Linked DNA regions of Macaca mulatta. Each later gene encodes a partner of the first gene's protein in a complex. Links are inferred from orthologs where the notes say so. Each region holds a gene or a part of one and is shown on either strand. Other genes may lie near its edges. The genes, in order: NUP58 and NUP62.

Evidence for each region.
Region 2: NUP58 (region 1) and NUP62 share a complex: the UniProt entries of both Homo sapiens proteins name them as parts of the p62 complex. The link is inferred for Macaca mulatta from reciprocal best matches to the Homo sapiens genes NUP58 and NUP62.

The regions. Positions count from the first base shown.
Region 1 is NC_133422.1:5,561,763-5,565,574, reverse strand, and holds part of NUP58 (nucleoporin p58/p45), read right to left. Parts: intron 2,969-3,812; coding exon 2,767-2,968; intron 1-2,766. UniProt on the Homo sapiens protein: Component of the nuclear pore complex, a complex required for the trafficking across the nuclear membrane.
Region 2 is NC_133424.1:62,390,391-62,394,952, forward strand, and holds the start of NUP62 (nuclear pore glycoprotein p62), read right to left. Parts: upstream 2,896-4,562; 5' UTR 2,819-2,895; exon of another isoform or gene 2,697-2,818; intron 1,358-2,696; exon of another isoform or gene 1,246-1,357; intron 501-1,245; exon of another isoform or gene 356-500; intron 1-355. Other genes in the region: ATF5 (cyclic AMP-dependent transcription factor ATF-5), read left to right, coding at 4,362-4,539. UniProt on the Homo sapiens protein: Essential component of the nuclear pore complex. The N-terminal is probably involved in nucleocytoplasmic transport.

The DNA.
Region 1 (3,812 bases):
AAACTCAATCCCAGTTCATTGCTAAAAAACCTATCCTAAATTAAAATTATACTGAAAAGCCTAATGTAAATGTCTTCAGTTTTTCAGGAGGCTTGGGAAGCACTACAAGTGTCAAGTTCTGCCAACATGAAACTACGTTATCCACGTAATGATGCTCATGATTTCGTACACAAATAGCCTGCTGGATTTTTAATTCCCTGCAGCCTTCAGAACAAATAACTGTAAATCACACGTGCCTAAGCCCTAGTATATAGATTTTTTCATTTAAAAAAAAATGAAGAAAGACAAAGAAGTCATTTAAGTCTATTACTCCTCCTCTGAGAAAGATACAGAAGCCACCTTCAGAAGGCAGCAGTCTAAGAAGCTATTTGCTCTGTGCCCATATTCATGTTAATAAAAATTTCATATGCAAATAAAAGCAAAATCCCTCTGATAACTCAAATCTTGTATAGATAAACAGTGACGTATAAAAACAACGTGTAAGCTCTCTCTACCTTCATCTAGATGGTCTAAAATTTGTTACTGGCACTTAAAAGATTTCACAGAAGTCACAGAGCATAAGGGATAACTTACGGGGTACAAAACACCATTCAATAAATAGGGACGTTTCTAAATGTATCTAACAGAGCTCATAAATCTCACATCATGGTGACATGACTAAAATAACTAAAATTTTGACTGGGAAGGCCTGGGAGACCTTTAGAGAAACAAAAGGAGAAAGAAAAGATAATGTAAAATTGTTATCACTATTGTTTAGCTTCTCAGTTCTAAGAATTCATACAATTCAAAGCGAAAACACTGTAAGGTTGTTTAGGTTAATAAATTATAATTTCTGCTATCTGATTAGAAAGCCCTTACGTGGACTTCAAAATTTCAGGGAAGAGTGAAGGCAGTCAATTTCCCCAAAGCCTGGCAAATGTCACAGGCAAAATTAAAGCCTATGAGCAAAAGGCTCAAGAATACACCAAATTAGGCTGATATTCTCAACCACCACAGAGGACAAAGACCAAATCTATATTGTCTACCTTTGCATTTCCCGAGCCCAGCACATAGTAGGCACTCATTTAGAGAATGAACACACATCTCCATATGTCCACGAGCTCAAAATGTATGAGTGAAAACCTATGAATTTCTCAAAATAACACTGTCTAGATAAGAAAGTTAAACACACACACACACACACACACACACAAACCCTTGACAGGAGGTCTTGCTTCAAGTTTAGGTATTTATCATAGAATATATTCACTTACAACATAACTTTTTATATAACTGACATTTCTCAAGTTTTATTTAATAGAATGGAAATTCACTATGTTTAAAGAGCACTTAACCAAACCTACACTTATCTACTTTAGGATTAATACTGGCTCTAAAAAGTAAACTATTAACTGGTTAAGTAATAATGAGAGCTGATGGTCATAATTATGGGATTGATTCCTTTTAAGAAGTATCAATCCTCAAAGGAATTAATCCCATAATGACTTTTTCCCTCCGTAACTTGAGAATGCAATGCTACACTCCACTCAGTTAGAGAGCTACCAGACAGTGCTCATGCGAGCCACTACTCACACGGGTCCAGCCACGGAATATGGAGGATTTGACATAAATCTATCATCAACCCTTTACTTATGGCAAGTCAATTCTGTCAACTCCAAATGTGAAGAACAATGTTTTAAACTGCCAATAGTGAAAACCAGAGAATGCTTCCCTAGTATAGGTAGCCTGAATGCAATCTAAATATGTATTAATTTTTTTTGTATTATAATGTACTATTGGACTATATGGAACTCTCAGAAAGACACATGCTATTGAGTAATAAGCATTACTAAGAAGTTTATGATGATTAAAGCAAAAAAATCTGTATCAATTAAGACTATTTTTCCATCTCAAGCTTCAAACTTGACAAAAGGGATGGCAGGATTAAGATAATTATTAACCTCCGATAGACACAGGACCAAATAAAGCACTGTAGAATGACCACAAAAATGTTTCTCTAATTAGAAGTGTAACTAAACCAAGGAATAAAACAATCTGCTTTCCATGTCACCGATTATTTTCATCTGTTCAACTTCTCAGTTGCTCCTTAATGTGTAATCTACATCTCAAAACATCTTTCTCCTGTGCTTAATGTGCAATCCACATCTCAAAACATCTTTTTCCGGCTCTTGCTGTTCTGTTCACCTTGAAAAGGTACAATTCTAGCATGTATCTTCTTCAAAAGTTGGTTTAGAGGGCCTGTATTCTGTTTACAGTCAACATACATACAAACAAGCCTACTGATCTTCAACATAACTTCAGTCAATAAAAGCATACTTCATCCTGAATGTGGGTAATCGCTATGTATGAGGAAAATGAGAATGCACCATCTATCAGTATCATATATGAAAAATTCAATGTAAGAATGGATGATCTCTGACTTTAAAACAATAAATGGTACAGTCATGATTTCAGAATCTAATGTTATTCTTAAATGTAATTCACTAGTGAAACACCATATTCTAAAGGGCATTTATAGCAATACAGCAAATAACATTAAGTAAATTCACAATATTCAGTATCTAATTGATGTATAATTATTGCTAAGACTACCCTGCCTTTTTTATCAGGTATGTTTATAATTGTGTCCATCACAATTTTAGATTGTATTGGAACAGCTACTCATATAAATTTCTTCAGTGCTCACACAAATGGAAGACTTATAAAAACGCACATAAATGTTCTGCATTGGAACAGTAAGAAGCTATAACTTGAATGCGTTCAGACCTGTAGCAGGCTGTTGCTGCTGTGTAAGTGTTGCAGCCATGGCAACGGCTGCTGCGTTTGGCATGGTGCTGAAAGGGGTGGGTCCAGTAGTAACTCTGGGTGTGTTCTGCCACTTCTTGGCTTCGGCTCGCCTTGTTTCAAACACATCAACAGCATCTCCCAAGAACATTTTCCTGTAGCCAAGGTACTGTTCTTTCAGAACCTAAAGAATAAAAAATAAACAAAAAGGCTAAATGAAGTTCCACATTGACTATGGTAATACATGGATGAATATAACCATGAGTTACCAAAGACATTGCCAATATTATACATTCAATCTGAACTGCAAATAGAGTGCTAATAATGCACTTTCATGTAGGAAGTGATGAGTTCAAGAGTTCTACTGCTCCCTTGAATAGTTTACTCCCTATCTTTACAATATGCTTCCTAAAATACTGTCTTTGTGAGGCCTTGTTTGAAATAAATCAGCTGGCCGGGCGCAGTGGCTCACGCCTGTAATCCCTGCACTTTGGGAGGCCGAGGCGGGAGGATCACGAGGTCAGGAGATCGAGACCATCCTGGCTAACACGGTGAAACCCCGTCTCTACTAAAATACAAAAAATTAGCCGGCACGGTGGCGGGTGCCTGCAGTCCCAGCTACTCGGGAGGCTGAGGCAGGAGAATGGTGCGAACCTGGGAGGCGGAGCTTGCAGTGAGCCGAGATGGTGCCACTGCACTCCAGCCTGGGCGACAGAGTGAAGACTCCGCCTCAAAAAAAAAAAAAAAAAAAAAGAAATAAATCAGCTATGCTTTTAGACAGAGTAGTATCTAAATAAACACTCCATCAATGTGAAGATGGATGAAAAGACTTTAAAAATAAATATTCCAGTTTCTCAAGAAACTTTCCCCTCAAATGTCCAACCTTTTCATAGCCTTTTGATTAAAACAGTTAAAAAAAGAAAAAAAAGTCAGCTCTAAATATATATATTTTTAAACACATTTTTTAGAAGGCCTGGGTAACACATGCTAAAATAAGATGTTGCACCTCAGCAGAATGCTTGGAGGGT
Region 2 (4,562 bases), on another chromosome or scaffold:
CAGCCTGAGCGACAGAGCAGGACTCTGTCTCAAAACCAAACCAAACCAAACCCAGTTCCCAAGTACAAGCTAGAAGGTCTTCTTAGGAGAAGATTCTGCCGGTGGGGGGCTGGGGTAGGGCACGTCTCTGCGTCCTTACCACTGGCAGTCTGTCCAACAGTCTACCCTTAATTCCATCTGCTTTTGCTCAAAAACCTATACTGAGAAGTGGAAGGAAGTTGGACTTACTGCACAGCAATGGAATGAGAACACATCCACCTTAATTATAGCAGTAACAGTAACCACTTTTATGCAGCACCTACTGTGTCCCAGGCACTAGTCTAACTGCTCGACGCGGATTAACTCATTTAATCAGCCCTATGAGGCAGGCAGTTTTGTTTTTTTTGTTTTTTTTTTTTTTTTGAGACAGGGTCTCACTCTGTCACCCAGGCTGGAGTGTGGTGGCACAATCTCCGCTTACTGCAACCTCTGCCCCACCCCAGGGTTCAAGTGATCCTCCTGCCTTAGCCTCACAAGTAGCTGGGACCACAGGCACAAACCACCACACCCAGCTATTTTTTTGTATTTTCTGTAGAGACGGGGTTTCACCATGTTGCCCAGGCTGGTCTCGAATTCCTGAGCTCAAGCAATCTGCCCACTTCAGCCTCCCAGGGTGGTGGGATTACAGGCGTAAGCCACCGTGCCTGGCCCAGAGGCAGGTACTCTTAACACCACCTTGTACCACAGGGGAAACCGAGGCACCGGGAAGGGAAATGGCTACGGTCACACAGCTAATAAGAGGGGTGCAGTCAGGTTTTGAACTCATAAATCTGGCTCCAGAGTCTATGCCAAGGATGTATAAAATTTGGCTTCCTGGGGCTACATCGCAAGAATTGTCTTAGGCCACACATAAAATAACACTAATGATAGTTGATGAGCTCAAAAGGAAAAAAAAAAAACACTCGCAAAAAATTCGTATGGTTTAGGAAAGTTTACGAATTTGTATTAGGCTGCATTCAAAGCTATTCTGGGCCACATGCAGGCCCACGGATGGGACAAGCTCAGTTTATGCTCTTAGCTGCTACTCTGTATACTGTCTCAGTGATAACACAACCCCTACAAGCTCAAGGAAATATAGGGCAGGTGCTCAAAAGCTGGCAAAGTGGACAATAAGTGCTCTAAGGGAAGGTGGTCAGATCCCAAGAAGGGCTTCCTGCCCGCGACAAGTAAGGGAGGAGAAAGAAGCTTGTGTAAAACGCTCAATACCAGGATTCCTCCACCTTCTCTGGACCTTGATTCAGTCTCCTAACTGCCACAGAAGGGATGAAGGCTGAACTCCAGCTGGGATGTCCTGACGTGGATGGGACAAAGTGGGTTTCTGCAAGAGAGAAAAGACTGACATCCACCTCGGCTGGTGGAGGGCCCTGTGCATGAGAAGGGGCAAGATGGCTACCCTCTGACTAAAGGGAAACGGAGATCTTCCATTTTTGGCAGGGTTGGGAGATAGTTCCTATCCCGTGGAAGCTAAGGACTGTTTGAAAGGAAGCCAAGGGCAAGGGATGGAGAAAAGGACGCAGCTGGGGCCTCGATGTCTGAATCCCTGCCAGGGGATGGGGCCTGGGCACCCATCATTTGGAACGGAAGATGAGGATGGCCGGAAACAGACACTTCAGAGGAATGAGGGAGACAGAAGAACGACAGCAAGAGTTAGACAGTCCAACGTCTGCGGCTCTTGTAAGGGGGAAAGAAGAAGTGAGGCTGGGCCCCAATAAAATATGTTGAGGCCGGGCGCGGTGGCTCACGCCTGTAAGCCCAGCACTTTGGGAGGCCGAGGCGGGCCGATCATGAAGTCAGGAGATCGAGACCATCCTGGCTAACAAGGTGAAACCTCGTCTCTACTAAAAATACAAAAAATTAGCCGGGCGTGGTGGCGGGCGCCTGTAATCCTAGCTACTCTGGAGGCTGAGGCAGGAGAATGGCGTGAACTCGGCGGAGTTTGCAGTGAGCCGAGATCGCGCCACTGCACTCCAGCCTGGGCGACAGAGACCGAGAGACGTCATCTCACCAAAAAAAAAAAAAAAAAAAAAATTGAACAGGAACGTATGAGTTGAACTCTGTGCATAAGGCTTGCCAGACACCGTCTTGAGTTTCATAAACCCACCAGGAGAGCTGATTTTTCTTATTTTACGGATAGGGAAATGAAGCAAGAGAACTTAAGCTATTTGCCCGAGGCCATCCTGGTAGGTCTGTGTTTGGGAGAGTGCTGTGACTCACGCTGGACTCTAACCCACGAGGGTTTCTCGGGGTCAGCAGTTGGGGGATGAAAACATGAAAAGTGTGGCTGGCAGGAAATTCTGCAAGCAGGGAAAGGGAAACAGAAATTAAATGGTGCAGGTCTCCGGGAAGAGAATGAGACTGGATCCACAAAATCACAGGAGGAAGCAGGCCCAGACCTCACAGGCAGAAAAAGAAAGAAACCAGAGTTTAGGAGGAAACCAGACCCCGGAGCTACGAGAGGGCCGGATCCCTGGCTCAAAAGGGAGGAGGGGCCTGGACCCTAGGAGTGGGAAGGAAGAGGTCGGATCCCCTGATCCCCAGGAGGAGGGGACCGGGCTGCCACCCAGTTGGGGCCCCGCGAGGGCGGGGCGCGGAAGGATCCGGGCGGGCCATGCTGCGCCACCCGAAGTATTTCTGTCCCCAGTCCCCGGGGCCGCCTCATTCCCCGTCCTCAGATCACGGTCTCTTCTAACTACAGCGTTCTCCGCCTCCGCCTGCGTAGCCCCAGCCATGGCTCTGTAGCCTCGACCCCTTTGTGCCCCCAGCCCGACTCCGCGCTTACCACGCCTGCGCTCTCCGCTCCCACCTTCTTTCTTCAGCCGAGGCCGCCGCCGCCTCTCCTTTCTGCAGCCATGGAGTGAGTAACCGCTTACTTGTCCCTCTCCAACCGCCTTTCCCGCCCTTTCGCAGCTCGTGGCCCTCTTTAGGGAGCCCTGGGGGGAGGGGAGCTGCGAGCGGGGAATCACGGTCGCGCAGGCGCAGAAGAGGTACGGTGGGCCGAAGGCGCGCGGCTGCGCATGCGCACTGGGCCCGGAGCCGGGTGGGAGAGTTCTAGAGACTCGATGTTTGTCAGCCGGCGTGTGGCTGCGCCTGCGCACTCCAAGGGAGGGTGTGGTCTTTTTCTAAACGATTCTGTGCGTGCTTGGTTGTTCCTGCGCAGTAGCCTACCAGTGCCCCGTAATGAATGAGCGCGGGCCCTGAGTGTCCGCGCATGCGCACTGATCCCCAAGAAGGCGGAGGTGTAAAGCAATTGGACAGCTCGGAAGACGTAGCATGCGCTTTGGCCCTTGGCGCATAGCCGCGTGTGGACGGCTGGCGTTCGGGTAGCAGTTCTCTGCCTGCCCCCTCTACCCTCCTCCACCCTCCCTGCTCCACGTTGCTCTGGCTCACAGCCCAACTTCCTTCCTTTTAAACCAGGCACCTGCTGAGGCGGGGACTGGCTTAGATTGACAGGGGAGAAGGCGGGGCTTAGAGGCAGCCCTCTAAGTGGGTGGGGCTAGAACCACTGTCGTCACGATGGGTGGGATTTCGTGAGCCCATTGTGAGAAGGGGCGGGGCTAAGCCAACCTTTAGCTGAGGGGTGGGGCTTCGATGGGACAAAGAGGCGGGGCCTCTGGGGAATCGGAGAGGGGCGGAGCTAAATAAACAATGAGGGGCGGGGCTTGGAGGGACAGTGGCAAAGCGAGGAGTGGGATTTGAGTGGATAACATTGCTGAAGGGCTGGGGCCTGGGGCAGTTCCCCTGGGCACTGGTTTGGGATGGAAGCTAGGAAGGCAGTGGGGCCAAAAGGAAATATTTTAGGGCAAGGGGCGTGGCTGGAAGAAAATGTCCCTGGAATTGAGTTTTTCCATGAAGCGGAATATTCTGAGGTGGATGGGAGGGGCCTAAGGTAATTCCCCTGGGAGACCCTTAGGTTTCTGTATTGGGGGAAAGGGTGGGGCATCGGTCCTACCTTAGGACCTAAAGAAATTCCCTTGGGAGTGGGTGGGGCTCAGATTTGGGTAAAGAAAGGGCAAATTTAGAATTCGGAGAGGCTGAGGCTTAGTTATAAACTGTGGTTGGAAGGGGGAGGGAGGAGCCCCGTGGACGTGCCTGGGGGTGTGGCTTGGCTTCCCCATGATTTTGGCCGGTGGATGAGGCTTTCCTGACCCCACGACCCCACCCACTCTTGTCTCACACGTGTAGGTCTTCCACTTTCGCCTTGGTGCCTGTCTTCATCCAGCTGAGCATCCTCCAGAGCCTCGTCCCAGCTGCTGGTGCAGCCGCTCCTGTTGCCATCAGTGCCCTGCACCTGTGCTACAGCGCCCTGCACCTGTGCTACAGCCATGTCACTCCTGGCCACCCTGGGGCTGGAGCTGGACAGGACCCTGCTCCCAGCTAGTGGGCTGGGATGGCTCGTAGACTATGGGAAACTCCCCCCTGCCCCTGCCCCCGTGGCTCCTTATGAGGTCCTTGGGGGAGCCCTGGAGGGCGGGCTTCCAGTGGGGGGAGAGCCCCTGGCAGGTAAGGGCAGGTGGAAGGTGGAG